Oryctolagus cuniculus: one gene and its partner. The protein of the gene in region 1 purifies or fractionates together with the protein of each later gene. This does not show direct contact. Links are inferred from orthologs where the notes say so. Each region holds a gene or a part of one and is shown on either strand. Other genes may lie near its edges.

Region 1 (6,766 bases):
ACTTGATCCTGACCCTGGGGCAGAGGAAGAGACTGAACTGCATGGGTTGCTGAAGTCACGACCAACCCACTGTGGGGGTTTACCCAGAGCTCAAGGACAAGGCCTCTGCCGGACCATCAGAGGAGCCAAGAAAGGCCAGGCATCCAATGGCTGCCCACTGCCCGTCCGCATGCCCAGTAGGCCCCACACAGCCTCTTACTCCCAGGCCATGCTCCTCGCCTTCGTCATCTTCCTCGACCTCACTGCCGGTATCCGAGCTGGGGGAAGGAGGCTGGGTGCCTTCTGACTCCTCCAGCCGGGTAGAACTGACAATGGAGACACAGCGCACTGGCCCATAGAGATCCAACACAGCCCACACGTTCTGCAGGCACACAGGACCCAGAAAACCAGAGATCAGAGGAAGGCCCCAACTCAGGAGCCCATCCTGGAACCCGAGGACGCTCTCCGGTCTACCTTGGCGATGCCAGTCGCTGCAGGCCCCATATCCTCTCCATCTACCAGGATGTGCATTGTGTCGTCGGCCCCCCGGCGAATACCCACACGGCTGCCCACCTAGGACCGATGTGGGACAGGGCAGATGCTCAGCCCACCTCCCTGCCACCCCCACTCCCAAGCCCTCCCAGTCCCCGGAGCCAGCTGCTTCACCCCCAGCCTCTCTAGGTTCCGGCCATAGTTCATCCTCTGCAGCTGCCCGTCACGCCTCACTTCACAGCTGGACACCATCCAGGTGGTCTTCGTCCGGAGCTCTGGCAGGGAGGGAGGCAGCCCGGGGCCACCGCCTGCCCCAGGCCCCATCTCCCCTGGGGCTAGTGTGGTCAGTCCCAGCCGGAGGGACCCCGCCCACTTTTCATCCAGCTCTTCCACTTTGACCTGCGTGAGAGACAGCATCAGCTGGCCCTGCCGTGCTGCCCGCGGCGCCCACTGTCCCACCTGCACAGCCCACCTCAAAGACTTCCTCAGCCTTGAGCTCCTTGGTGCTGAAGACGAGGCCGTGAGCATAGCCAGCCGCCCGCACGGCCCTCGTGCCGTCCTCCTCCAGGGTGACGTTCTTGCCACAGGTACTATGGAATCGGTGAGCCACACCAGCCACTGTGAAAGACGGCACCAGGGAAGGGGTAGGACTGGGGCTGCAGGCTTCACGCGAGACACAGGGCAGAGCCTTCAGATGAAGTGGGAAGTGGACACAAAGGGCCCCCTCTGCCACTACTCCTTAGAGCCCCAACACCTTTACACCACCCGTGCCCACACCTGGCACGCCCAGGCCACGGTGTCAGGCTCTGTGTACCAGGCATAACCTCCCCCACTTGACAGCGTGCCACTGTGGGCTGTGCCTGCGGCACCCCCAGGGCCCACAGCAGGAAAGCAGAGCCTGCAGCCCCCTCCCTGCCACTGCACCTGGGGAATGCAGGGGGAAGGACTTCTCGGTGGCGCTGTTGCTGGTCGCCAGGCTGTTGTCCATGGGGCCGGTGGCGTTAGTGATGGACACTTGCACACACTGGCCATAGAGATCCACGACTGCATACACCTCTGGACGGCAGAGGAAGCCACGGTCAGACGCCCGAGGTCTGGGATGCACGGCCTGAGGGTGCAGGCCCAAAGCCACAGAGTAGTCACCTTTACCCGGAGGCAAGCCTGAGCAGGCGGCGCCTTGATCCTGGCCGTTGATGAAGTAGTGCAGGTCGCCCTTGGCGGTGCGCATCATGCCGATGCGCGCCCCCGTGCCCAGCGCGTCCAGGTCACACCCGTAGTTGTTGCGCATCGTGTTGCCGTCTTGCATGATGGCGGTGCCGCTGCAGGGACGGCAGGAGTGTGTTCAGCCTCCCAGCCTCATCCCCACACTGGCCCCCGCTCAGTCCCTGCTGGTCAGACCCAGACTGGGGTCTTGGTCTGGGCCAGAAGCCCCATCCTGAGGTCCCCCAGGGCAAAGCAGAAACCATCCTACAAGGAAGAAAGATCGAGTTCCTGTAGGGCTAGGCAGGGCTTCTGTGACAGAAGGGACCGCCAGTCCCCTGGCTCTGCCCCTCCCAGCCGGCTCCATTCAGCCTCCCCTCAGCTGCTCTTAAAAGTAGGAAGCCTGGGGTTGGTGCTACAGCATCAAAGGCTAAGCCTCAGCCTGCAGTACTGGCAGGCTGCTCCTCTTCCAATCCAGCTCCCTGCTAAGACCTGGGAAAGCAGCGAAGGATGGCCCAAGTGCTTGGGACCCTGTACCTGCATGGGCGACCCGGAGGAAGCTCCTGGCTTCTGGCTTCAGCCTGGCCCAGCCCCAGCCGTTGCGACCATTTAGGGACTGAACCAGCGGATGGAAGACCTCTCTCACTTTCTCTCCCCCTCTCTCTGTAACTCTGCCTCTCACATAAATAAATATATAAATAAATCTTTAAAAAAAAAAAAAGGCAGGAAGCCCAACCTCAGCATCCACGTATCATAGTCAATGTCGGTCATCGTGTTGGGGAACTCCAGGTCTTCAGGCCGAATAGCAGTCACTCCTGGGGAGGAGGCAGGAACTGGTCAGCACTGACCCCGAGGCCACAGGCCCCAGGACCCCCCAGCACTCACACAGATGTCCCTCACCTGCCTCAATGGAGCCTGACCAGCGGTCCACCATCTTCTGAATGACAATTTCAAAAAGCTCTCCGTCGCGCAGGGCCCTGCCGAGGAGGCGGCAGTGAGAGAGGCCCTGGGGAGGCTGAGGCGGGGCCGCGGGAAGCAGGAGCGCCAGCGCGCAGACTGACCGGTTGGAGATGACGATGGCGTCGTTGAACTCGCTGCGGCAGTTGTGGCGCAGCGCGGTGCGGCCGCCGTTGGTGATGACGGCGTTACTGCCGTGCAGCTGGTGGAAGCGCAGGTCAGAGCCCCCGGCCCCTGACGACGGAGAGCTCGGGGACACCTGGTTGTTCCCCTCAGGGAGGGGCTCAGGAACCGGGGGCACCTCTGCAAGAGTGGACGTCACCCGTCGGGTTGCCAGGTGTCTCTAAGGCCTCCCAAGGCCACCCCAAGCCCCTGCCCAGCGCTGCCCGGCCCTCACCCACGTCGTCCACGATGGTGGCCTGGGCTGCCTGGCCGTAGAGATCAACGACGGCATAGACGCCGGGAGGCACGTTCCAGGCGGCGGGGCCCTGAGTCATCCCGTTGACGAAGAAGTGGAGCGTCCCGTCCTCCCGCCGCACCACGCCCACCGTGTCCCCTGCCTTGGAAGAAGGGGGGCTAGAGTGAGGAGTCAGGCGGAGTTCCTGCCTGGGCTGGTCCTGCATCGGCCCCCCTCGCCTGCCTCCCCTGCTGCTGTGCCCAGATAGGACCCTCACTCTCCCACCTTGAGGCGGTCCAGGTTGTGCCCATACTCGTCCAGGATGGTCGTCCCGTTGTGCATCACCCCGTTCCCGGTCATCATCCAGGTCCCTAGGGGGATGAGGAGTGGCAGAGGACACGAGAGGGAAGGCGGGGCCTCTCTCCTCTGCATGGCAGCCCCCGCAGAACAGCTCTGCCCTGCCCACTGGGTGCTCCCCAGCCACTAGATGAGGATGAGGGTCAGGGCTTCGGGGACAGCTTCCTCCCTGGGACCCCACCTTGGCCCTGGCCTTCTCGGGAGCTCACCAGAGCGCAGGTTGGTCATGGTGGAGGGCAACTGGAGATAGGCAGGGTTGTGAGTGGTGACGCCAATCTCAATGGAGCCAGCCCATTTGTCCACCATCTTGTCAATGCGCACCTGGAACACCTCTCCATCCCGCAGGGCTCTGCTGCTGAGTACCACGCCATGATTGAAGTCGTCGGTGGCACTGAGGGCACAGCACATGGGGAGTCAGATCCCAACACTCGGTGTCAAGGCTTCCCCCAGTGACGCCCGCCAGCCCCAGCCAACCAACTGAACCTCCCACTGCGGGAGGCGCCCCACTCTCCTGTCCAAAACGCCCCAGACCCGACTCCCTCTGCCTCTCACTTGTCCAGCCACCCCCTCTCCAGTCCCATTAGAGCCCCTTCTGCAGGCTTCTCCCCACCCCGTGGGCCATACTGGGGCCTCAGGGCAGTGCGTCCCTCGTGGGTGATGGCTGCCTTCTGTCCACAGTTAGGGTGGAAGAGCAGGCGCTCGGGTTCCGCCTGGGCGGCAGGAGCGGTTCGGCGGAGGGCGCCCTCGGGGGACAGTGCCCGCAGGATGGCATTGTTGCGGCGGAGACGGTCGCTGTGGTTATTATTGTGGACAATGGTCACCTTCACTGCCATCCCGTACAAATCCACCACACCGTACACCACTGGGGGCGTCAGCGGGGTGGCCACACCTGTGCAGTGGAGAACGGGGGGAGGGGAGTCAACCACGGGGAAACCGAGCACCCACAAGAGGCAGGAGGCTGAGGTCCTGACCCTATGCTCCCCGTCCGGCTGAAAGCTCTGGCCCAACAGCACCTGCGAGCAGCCCCTCACCCTGGTCGATGCCATTGATGAAGAAGTGCAGGGCAGAGTTGGACTTCCTCGTGAGGCCGATGTGGTCTCCCTCCTATTCAAAGCAGAAAAGCCGTGAGCCTGGAATCTACCCACCGTCAGGCCCCAGAACAGCGCTGGGCCTTGCTGCCACCCCCTCCACAGGACAGCAGCTCCCAGAGATGTCCACGCTAGCCTCAGATCACCCTGGGGCACAGGAGGACAGGTGCCCGGGCCCTGTTCTCCACACATGGCCACGTCTGCAGTTCCTGAACACTCAGTGCAAGTCAGGCGCTGAGTTAAACCGTCTTACGGGCGTCAACTCCCTCAAACCTCAACCTATAAAATACGTGCTGCGCTGTGAACAGCCTCATTTTAGAGGCTGCCGGGCAACCCCACCTCCTCAGAAGGAACCTCAGTTCTGGGTCAGAGACCACTGAATGCATGGCGGCCAGCCAGGGACACAGAATCCCCGCGTCGCCCAGGAGGGCGGCCGGAGGCTCTGGGCCCCGCGCACCTGCAGCTCATCCAGACTGAACTCGCAGTACTCGCGGCGGGTGCCTTTGCCGTTGGTGAGGATCCCACAGCCGCTCATCATGATGGTGCCTGGTGCGGGAGGTGGACGCCCTGGTTAGGACACAGGCTTCTTCCCCTCAGGAAACCCCAGGCCTGCGCCTCCACCCCTGCCAGTGCGGGCACCTGACTGCAGGTTGGTCATGGTGGCTGGGTACTCCAGACTGTTGGGGTTGTGCGTGGTGACACCGATCTCGATGGATCCCGACCACTTATCTACAAGCTTGTCGATGCGGATCTGGGGTCCAGTGACAGCGGAAGGGAAGACCAGGGAATGTAAATACAGAGGAGGGGCCCCAGGCCTTGGTTCTTCCCAGAGCACGCCCTCCTTCCCCACCCCTCTGCCAGCACCTCCCTCCCTATCCAGCCCCATCTTCAGCTCCCAGAGGGTGAGGCGCTGGCCAAACCCCAGGGTTTGCACACCTCAAACATTTCATTGTCCCGCAGCGGGCGGTTCGTCATGACGACCCCGTTGTTGAACTCATCCAGGGGCCGCCGCCGCTCAGCTGTCTTGTTGTTGTTGCTGAGTTTGATGAGGGTCCCACACTTCTCGTGAAAGAGCAGGGCGTCATTGGAAGTGAGGATGGGCGAGGTGGCAGCGCCGCTGGATGCCAGCCCTTCCCCTGCCGGGGGGGAGCTCAGGTTCACGTTCAGGAGCCCCCCGTTGTAGGCAGACAGGATGGTGTTGCTCACCACCTCCGACAGCTCCATGCTGGCAAAGTCTACAGCAGCAGGACGGAGGAAGGACAGCGCGATGAGACCGCGCCCTTGGGCTTGGCGCCCTCTCTCCCTGGCCCTGTCCTGCGGCCCCTCCCCTGTCCACCTCACTGCCCACTTCCCCTCCCAGGGCTTCCCCGAAGCCCTCACCATTATGCGAGTCAAGGCTGTTAGGAAACGTCTCCGGCCGGGCCTGCGCTGGGGACACCATGAAGGCTGGGGACCAGGTGGGAGGGGAGGGGAATAAGGGTTCAGTCCCTGCACCAGGGCCCACAGACAGGAGACCCCCTCCTTGAGCCCCTGCTCTCTGCAGGGATCTGAAGGGCCCTGCCCACACCCGGCCTCACCTGTCACTACAAGTCTCCCACCTGAGCTACTCCCGCAGCCCCACCCCTCCGCCGCGGCCCTGGCTGCGTTCTTACCTTCATCCCCGGAGGTTCCCTGTTCAGCCAAGGCGGGATCTTCAGAGGGGGCTGAGGGCTCGAGGGGAGGGGTGGGGAGGGGAGCAGGGGGACAGAAGCCTGGCTCAGGGGGCAGCACAGTGATCTGGGTGCACTTGCCATAAAGGTCCACGACAGCCCAGACCCGAGCGGGCAGGCCTGTGGCAGCCACGCCACAATCCCGCCCGTTCACCCAGAGCCGCAGCTCCCCCGCAGCCGTGCGTTCCACGCCCACACGGTCCCCTTCGCCAAGCTGGTCCAGGTCCTGGCCGTACTCCTCCAGCACGGAGCGTCCGTCCCTCAGCACCGAGCAGCCTGACACTACCCACGAACCCCCCTTCAGTCCCGTGGCGCTGCTTGGGAAGTCCAGCACGCTGGGGTCCAGCGCCGTCACCCCGATCTCAATGGAGCCGCTCCAGGAGTTGACCTGTGTGTGTGACAAAGGCAGCGGATAGAGGCCCAGGGTGGGCCATCAGTGGGTCCCCAATGGCTGGAAAACCACACCCCACAGGCCTTTGTATCCCCTTCTTCCTATCCTTCGGCTCACTGGCTTTCCCTCTCTGAGATGCTGATCCAGACACGCAAACCCATGAGGCATTTCCCACTCTGCCTCAGTCATCGTTAGG
Region 2 (7,492 bases), on another chromosome or scaffold:
AGGCAAAGGTAGAAACGCTCCGTGGCAAATAACAAAAAACAACAACAAAGAGGGGAAGGCTACTTAATTATTTACTTCCTTTTTTCTGTCATGAAGTTCAAAGGCTTGGCCTATCTTAAGATTATATTCTGATTCCACAGGCACAAGCGGAGAACGGTTCAGTCAGAAGTGGAAAACAGCTGGCACAGCAGTCATGACACAACTTGGGATGCTCGCGTCCCATACTCGAGTGCCCGGATGCCAGCTTTCAGCTGATACATACACACCCCTGGGAGGCAGTAGGTACGGCTCAAGTAGGTGGGTCCCCGCCGTGAGAGACCTAGACTGACTTCCAGGCTCCTGGCTGTGCCCTGGCCCCACCCCAGCTGCTTATGGGAGATCTGTCTCTAAAATAAAATAAATAAATAAAAGTGGCAAACAGAAAAATCTATTGTCTCTGGTATGAATTTTATTTTATTGCTTAAAATCGGAACTATCGCTAACTACTGTAAACAAGCCCAGCAATTTCAGGAAAATGGTGATGTGGCTATGAAAGCACAATGCACCTAGGACTAGCCACCACAGTCATTCAGCAAATGTTAAATATTTATGATTGCCTGTCTGCGTAACACTACAGGCAGCACCGCGTCCTTGAAATAAGCAAGGAGAGATGAGACTTCAGCAGAGTCCTAACCAGCAGTCGTGTGAGTGCAGCAACAGAAAACCGACGCACAATAATGCTCCTGTGAGTGTTCTTGTTCAGACAACTAACTGCTTAACAAAAAGAGAGAAGGCAGAGGAACTCAGTTCATGATCTAGGATACGCAAAGATGAAATAAGATGGAGTATGGCACTGTGTTAGGCACTTAAAAACTCAGCATACTAAAGTGAAAGGGACAGATTGTAATGCAATAAGAAATGAGGAGGCCGGCGCCGTGGCTCAATAGGCTAATCCTCCACCTTGCGGCGCCGGCACACCGGGTTCTAGTCCCGGTTGGGGCGCCGGATTCTGTCCCGGTCGCCCCTCTTCCAGGCCAGCTCTCTGCTATGGCCAGGGAGTGCAGTGGAGGATGGCCCAGGTGCTTGGGCCCTGCACCCCATGGGAGACCAGGAAAAGCACCTGGCTCCTGGCTCCTGCCAGGATCAGCGCGGTGCGCCGGCTGCAGCGGCGGCCATTGGAGGGTGAACCAACGGCAAAAGGAAGACCTTTCTCTCTGTCTCTCTCTCACTGTCCACTCTGCCTGTCAAAAAAAAAAAAAAAAAAAAAAAAAAAAAAAAAAAAAGAAATGAGGAAAAAGTATATTCAGAATTATGATTCGATTATGGAAAATAAAATGTAAAGCTGCTTTTGCTCAACTAGCAGTTCTATCAATAAAACCTCTTGCTACCATTCTATCGATTATAATTATGGATGCCTATGTAATTTAGGAGGGATCACCCATCATATGCAAAGTGAGAGTTTAGTTTCAAAGAAACAGTTTTCTAGAGTGTGAATGAGATTACTTTGTAAGCTTATATTCATCTTTAAAAAGTTTTAACTTTATTTATGGAAGAGACAAAAAGAGACAAAGAGATAAAGAGCTCTGACACTCGCCAAATGCCTCTAACACCTAGGGCTGGACCAGGCCAAAGCCAGGAAACAGGAACTCAATCCAAGTCTCCCACGTGGGTGGCGGGGACCCAAATTACTTCAGCCATCTTTGCTGCCACCTGCGGTCCACACCTGCAGGAAGCTGGAGTCAGGAGCCAAAAGCCGGTCCCTACATAACCATGTTTTAGTCTGTTTTAACCTGCACTATGTTCTCTTAACAACCAAAATATGCAGCAGCTAAGCTGCAAGAGCAATTCAGATAAACTCATTTAGGCTAAAATATCTCAAAAGTATGTTTGAAAACCCAATCCACATCTGCAGCGTTCCAGGGAACAGAAATAGACCCGGCATGCAAATCATGTGCTATACTTTCTATAAATACACGAGCACAAAATTCAATTTTAAAGATCTGGGAAGTTTAAGGAAATAAAATACTTCCATGGCAACAGCTTTATTTTTCTTTCAACATCACAGATGCTTCATTGTTTCAGAAGGTTATTTACATTCTTTAAATAGCAAATGTATATACTACAAATTGCAGATGGATGAGCAGTCTTCAAAAAATCTGTGGGAAATGCATAGAATGAAAAACCTACGCATGGGTTGCAGAAGCTTTCTGCACCAGGGGCAGGCATTTGGCCCAGCTGTTAATCAAGACACTTGCGTCCCCAACGGGAGCACCTGGGCTCCATACCTGGCCCCAGCTCCAGGCTCCAGCTTCCTGCTAACGCAAACTGTGGGAGGCAGGGGCTACGGCTGGGCTCGAGTAATTGCAATCCTGCCACCCATGTGGGAGACCTGGACTGAGTTCCCACTCCTGGCTTTGGCCAGGCCCAGTCCCGGCTGCCACAAGCATTTGGGGAGTGAACTAACAGACAGAGAATATCTTGATCTGTGTGTGTGTGTGTGTGTCTGCCTCTGAAATAAGTAAGATATGCTTTTAAAGTTTTTTTCTAACAAAATAACCTTGTCTTTTAGCTCCACCTTCCCATAAACCTGTGACATATCTTCACAAGCAATACGCTGGTATTATTATTATTGTAGCATAACATACAGCATGCAACAATGCTTCAACTATTCAAGTATGAGTGCTGATATGGAGGTCACAGAAACTGCAAGCTGATCCCGGGCCACAGCGGGATCCCTCCTGCCTCTGGTCTCAGCTCAGGTGCCACCTCCTCACAAGGACCAGCCCTGAGCGCCCTTCTAAATTTACCCTGCCTCAGCCACTACCCCGTTACCCTGCTGTCTTCCAGTCTTCGGACTTAGCACTCTCTGAAATTCTCTTGTCTTTCTCTGGTTTTGTCTGTCTGCCTCCGCTAAAACGTAAGCCATGTGAGCGCCGGTACCTTCGCAGCCTTGTCCGCTGCATCCCCACTGCACAGAACAACGCGGGCACGCAGCTGGCACTCAGTAAAGAACGGTGAATACATGAATCAGCTGATTCCCTCCAACAGTAAGGTAAGCCAGGGAAAGGAAGAGGGTGGGCGACACAGCAAAAGAGCTAGCAAGGAAGGATGGAGTCCAGAGAACGAAGTTTCCCTGCTGACCCGGCTCTCTGTGAGCTGCAAAGGGAGCCACTTACAAAGTGAGCCGTCTGCATCCCGCGTGGCGTGGGGCACAGGCACTGTTTCTCTACCACAATCCCTCTGCTGCCAGGTTTTACTTCCACAGAGCCTTGGCTACGAGGCCAATCCAACCACAAGGCACTGCCGGTCCACAGCCAGGAATAACGTCGGCTGTGTGCCTCCTCTTCTTTGCTTATGAGCCAGAGTTCTGCTGAGCCTTATTCAAATGAGCCTCTTGACAAACCCAAGGAACTCAGGGTCCTATCTGCTCCTTACCAGCCAAAACTGTCACCGCAGAGAGTGACAAAAATAACACGGCCAAGATCCGGCCTTGTGGGCAGAAGCGAGCTGACTGGGTACCCATCAGGACCCCCGCCAGCATAAAATTCCTGTAGCAGCAGTCAGCGGCATTTCTTCTTTTTAATCTGGTGGGGGGGGGGGGGGAGGGCATAACAAATGTAGAACGCGCCTCACCCGGGCAGCACACACACGCAGAGCGAGACGCCAGGAGGAAGATGTGACATTCGGGCACACCCTGGCTGGGCGTTCTTGGTGAGCCAGCGACTGTCCTCCAGCTCATCTTCCTCCTCTGTAAAGTGCGGGTCATGGGGACACCTGTCTCACAGGTAGTTCGTGAGAATCCAAGGAGCGAATGCACTTAGCATACACAGGGCACACAGAAATCGTCCACGCATTGTGAAGAAGAGAATGCCAGTGATGATTTGTAGCAAGAGACTAGGAACTCCAAGGAGAGAGGGGGAGAGGGCTGGCAGTGACAGTGCTGGGTTCCTGGTAGGATGCAAATGTGACTGGAAAACACGGGACTGCTTGTTCATCGCGCCGTGCGCAGACCCCTTCCCACCAGGGCAATCCCTAGCCGGCTGCCACGTGCACAAACAGGGGTAGGGGGCTGGGGTGATCACCGGATAAGAAGCAAAGGCTGGGAACCAACCAGCAGCATCAGGGGCGATCCAGAGGATTCGCCATGCTTCCACCCCGGAATCGCAGAGGCGAGGCAAACGGCGCTCCCAGGTCGCCGGTTTCGAAAGGGCCGGGCACAGCCCGGGACGGAGACGGGGGAAAACACCCCCAGCTTCGACCCCCGAACGGGGCTCTCCGGCCTCGGGCGCCCTTCTGCCCTGCACGCCGCACCCTGCAGCCGGCTCCTCGGACATGGAGCCCGCTGCGTGCGGCCGGCATCCGAGCATCGCATCCCAGCACCACCGGCCTCGGGCCCCCGCCTCCCCACGCCCGGCGCCCTTCCAGGGGCTCGAGGCCCAGGAGCCGGCACACAGCCCGCCCTCGGCACCTCAGGGCGCCAATTCCGCCTCTCCCGCTCGCCTCTCCCCGGCCACCCGCCGAGGGTCCTGCCCCCTCCTCACGCACAAACCTGATGCCCCACGGCCCCCTCAGACTTTCTCCCTTCGCCACGAGCCTTGTCAGGCAGGAAGCAAATGGCTCAACTTGTACTGACAGAGCACAGTTCGGTCCGCCGCCGCCTTCGCCTCCTCCTCCCCGCCATATTACGGGTCTCAGAAGCGACAACGCGGGCTCCTGGCAACCGCCGCCGCTGCCGCCACCTAGACTCCACCTCTCAGGGCGGGCACTTCCGGTAGTGGCTTCGCGGGCAGTTGGAACGGTTGGGCTCCAGAAAACTACAGTCCCCGAGATGCACTGCGCACCCCTGACCAAGGGCGTGTGCTTGCGGCGAGCGGAATGCATCCTGGGAAATGTAGTCTTCCCTGCTACACCGCCCTTCTAGAATTACAATTTTTCTATAACCAGAACTCTGGTTGGGGTCTGAAGCCCCTAAAGTGTTCCATAAAGCTGCCATTTTTCTTCTTATTTTTATAGCTATTACCTCTCCCTGTGTGGTCGCTGGAAAACATATCATTCACAAATATTTTAAAATATATGTATTTTATTTGAAAGGCAGAAACAGAGACAGATCTCCTCAAATGCCCGCAACACCCTGGCTGAAGCCAGGATCCCAGAACTCCTTGGGGGTCTCCCGCAGGGTGGCAGGGACAAGTACTTGAGTCCACCTGTCCATTCTCAAGGGTGCCCATTAGCAGGAAGCTGGGACAGAAGCAGATCGGGGACTCCAACCCAGGCACTCTGACATGGGGTGGAAGCATCCCAAGCAGTGTCTTTGGGGCTGCACCAAATGCCAGCCCCTCAGCAATGTTTTTGCTCTGTACATAAAAATTTACTAAATCATAGAAGCCAATTGGAAGCCTTAAGATAATCCATACGCTTTTGAATTCCAATGAGAAGGTTTGTCCAAGAGAAACAGGTAACAGATTCAAGATGGAAGAAAATTCTCTGAATGTTTTACCAAAATTGTCTATTGAAAAGTCACAGAAGACGGCGTGGTGACATAGCAGGTGGAGCCACTGCCTGCAATGCTACCATCCCATATGAGTGCCAGTTCTCGTCCCAGATGCCCCACTTCTGATCTAGAGCCATGATGATGCACCTGGGAAAAACAGCCAGAGGATGGCCCAAGTGCTTGGGCCCCCGTACCCCTATGGGAGACCTGGATGAAGCTCCTGGCTCTTGGCTTTGGCCCAACCCAGCCCATTATAGCAGACATCTGGGGAGTAAGCAAGTGGATAGAAGATCTCTCTCGCTCACTCACTTTCTCTCTCTCTGTCTCTCCCTGTAACTTGCCTTTCAAATAAATAAGTAAATCTTAAAGAAAAAGGAAAAATGTGTCACCAGCCATTCAAAATATGATTTAGCAGCCTCTCTCCATTCCCTGAGTAGGCTTCCCCTTGGGTCTCTGTTCCTCTTTCTGGTGCTTGTCTTTGACTCTATAAAAGGGAAAGGTTAGAACTGCTATCACAGGGTGGTTGCAAAGCACAACTCAGATAACTCTCCCAGCGCCTGGTACATTAACCTTTAGTAGTAGGAAAAATAAGATTAGGAGGGTGGCAGTGGAAAAGTCACAAGCCACTGGCTTCATGTTAGCCCTGACCCTGCCATTACCCACCCCATTCTTTGCCTCTCCTTGGTTTCCTTACCACTGGGATCGGCATGCTGACATAGGGTAAGGGCGCTGCCTGCAACACCGACAGCCCATAAGAGCACCAGGTCAAGTCCTGGCTGCTGCACTTCCAATCCAGCTCCCTGCTAATGCACCTGGGAAAGCAGCAGAAGATGGCCCAGGTACGTGGGTCGCTGCAGCCACGTGGGAGACAGGGTTGGAAATCTTGGCTCCTGGCTCCAGCCTGGCCCAGTCCTGACTGTTGCAGTCATTTAGGAGTGAACCAGCACATGGAAGATCTCTCTCTCTCTCTCTCTCTCTCTCTCTCTCTCTCTCTCTCTCTCCACTCCCTTACCTTTCAAGTAAATAAATACATTTTTTCTTCAAAAAAGAAATCATTGAAATTCCTGTCAATTCTTCCTTTGCTCTGTTCTTCCATCCTCTCGGAATCACAAAAATCCTTCGAAAGTGGACTGAAACCACCCCTCTGAGATAATGCCCACTGCTGCAGATGTGGTGAGTCTACGCGAGCTAGGCATAGGCAGTGTTTGCTGGACAGCACCCGAGGCAGGATCAGTGCTGTGTGAACACTATCATCCTCCATAGGGCAGGGACCCCGCAGTCCTGCTCAGGGCTGGGTCCGGAGCACCCACGCCTGTGTGGGCACATCTCCATTGGAATACATAGTCTTAGCTCCCTGCACCTTCACGCTCCCCAGGACCTCCCTCTCCTCGAGGACGGACGAAGGAGTCACTTCAGTCCCTCCCACTCCTGCGGTCGCCGGCGGGCTCTGTCCCCTTCCCCTCCACACTCGACCCAAGAAGCCCAAACCCCAGAGAAACCCCCAAGCCTCTTTGGAACTTGAGCCTGGGGCCTGGGCCCGCCCCCGTTGCCACGGCAGCAGTTCCGCCCCTCGCGCCGGCGATCTCGGGCGCTGATTGGCTGGGCGGCCAGCTCCCTCTCGGGATGTGGCCGCCGCCGCCATTGTGCGGCGCTGGTCCCCTCGGAGGGTGCCGGAGGCGGCCAGTGCTCGGCCTCTGCCCCCTCGCCTCTTGCTGCCCCGGCCCGGGAGCCCGGCCGGCCCGGGACTCCCGTCCTTGCCGGTGCGGGCGCCGGCATGTGGCTGTGGGAGGACCAGGGGGGCCTCTTGGGCCCCTTCTCCTTCCTGCTGGTGCTGCTGCTGCTGCTAACGCGCAGCCCCTTCAATGCCTGCCTCCTCACCGGCAGCCTCTACGTCCTGCTGCGGCTCTTCAGCTTTGAGCCGTTGCCCTCCCGCCGGGCCCTGCAGGTGCTCAAGCCCCGGGACCGCGTGTCCGCCATCGCCCACCGGGGCGGCAGCCACGACGCGCCCGAGAACACGCTGGC

Evidence for each region. Proteins that work in one complex are often made in the same cells at the same time.
Region 2: the proteins of NEURL4 (region 1) and CCP110 purify together in Homo sapiens (affinity purification with western blotting; 4 studies listed by BioGRID and IntAct, with this or other methods). This does not show direct contact. The link is inferred for Oryctolagus cuniculus from reciprocal best matches to the Homo sapiens genes NEURL4 and CCP110.

Annotation. Positions count from the first base shown.
Region 1 is NC_091448.1:51,922,493-51,929,258, forward strand, and holds part of NEURL4 (neuralized-like protein 4), read right to left. Parts: intron 6,568-6,766; coding exon 6,123-6,567; intron 5,917-6,122; coding exon 5,851-5,916; intron 5,706-5,850; coding exon 5,407-5,705; intron 5,222-5,406; coding exon 5,110-5,221; intron 5,017-5,109; coding exon 4,928-5,016; intron 4,487-4,927; coding exon 4,414-4,486; intron 4,272-4,413; coding exon 4,007-4,271; intron 3,774-4,006; coding exon 3,592-3,773; intron 3,397-3,591; coding exon 3,311-3,396; intron 3,189-3,310; coding exon 3,026-3,188; intron 2,932-3,025; coding exon 2,733-2,931; intron 2,649-2,732; coding exon 2,572-2,648; intron 2,487-2,571; coding exon 2,408-2,486; intron 1,791-2,407; coding exon 1,615-1,790; intron 1,528-1,614; coding exon 1,396-1,527; intron 1,090-1,395; coding exon 944-1,089; intron 871-943; coding exon 646-870; intron 553-645; coding exon 454-552; intron 362-453; coding exon 200-361; intron 15-199; coding exon 1-14. UniProt on the Homo sapiens protein: Promotes CCP110 ubiquitination and proteasome-dependent degradation. By counteracting accumulation of CP110, maintains normal centriolar homeostasis and preventing formation of ectopic microtubular organizing centers.
Region 2 is NC_091450.1:21,519,153-21,526,644, reverse strand, and holds the start of CCP110 (centriolar coiled-coil protein of 110 kDa), read right to left. Parts: upstream 4,750-7,492; 5' UTR 4,529-4,749; intron 1-4,528. Other genes in the region: GDE1 (glycerophosphodiester phosphodiesterase 1), read left to right, coding at 7,245-7,492.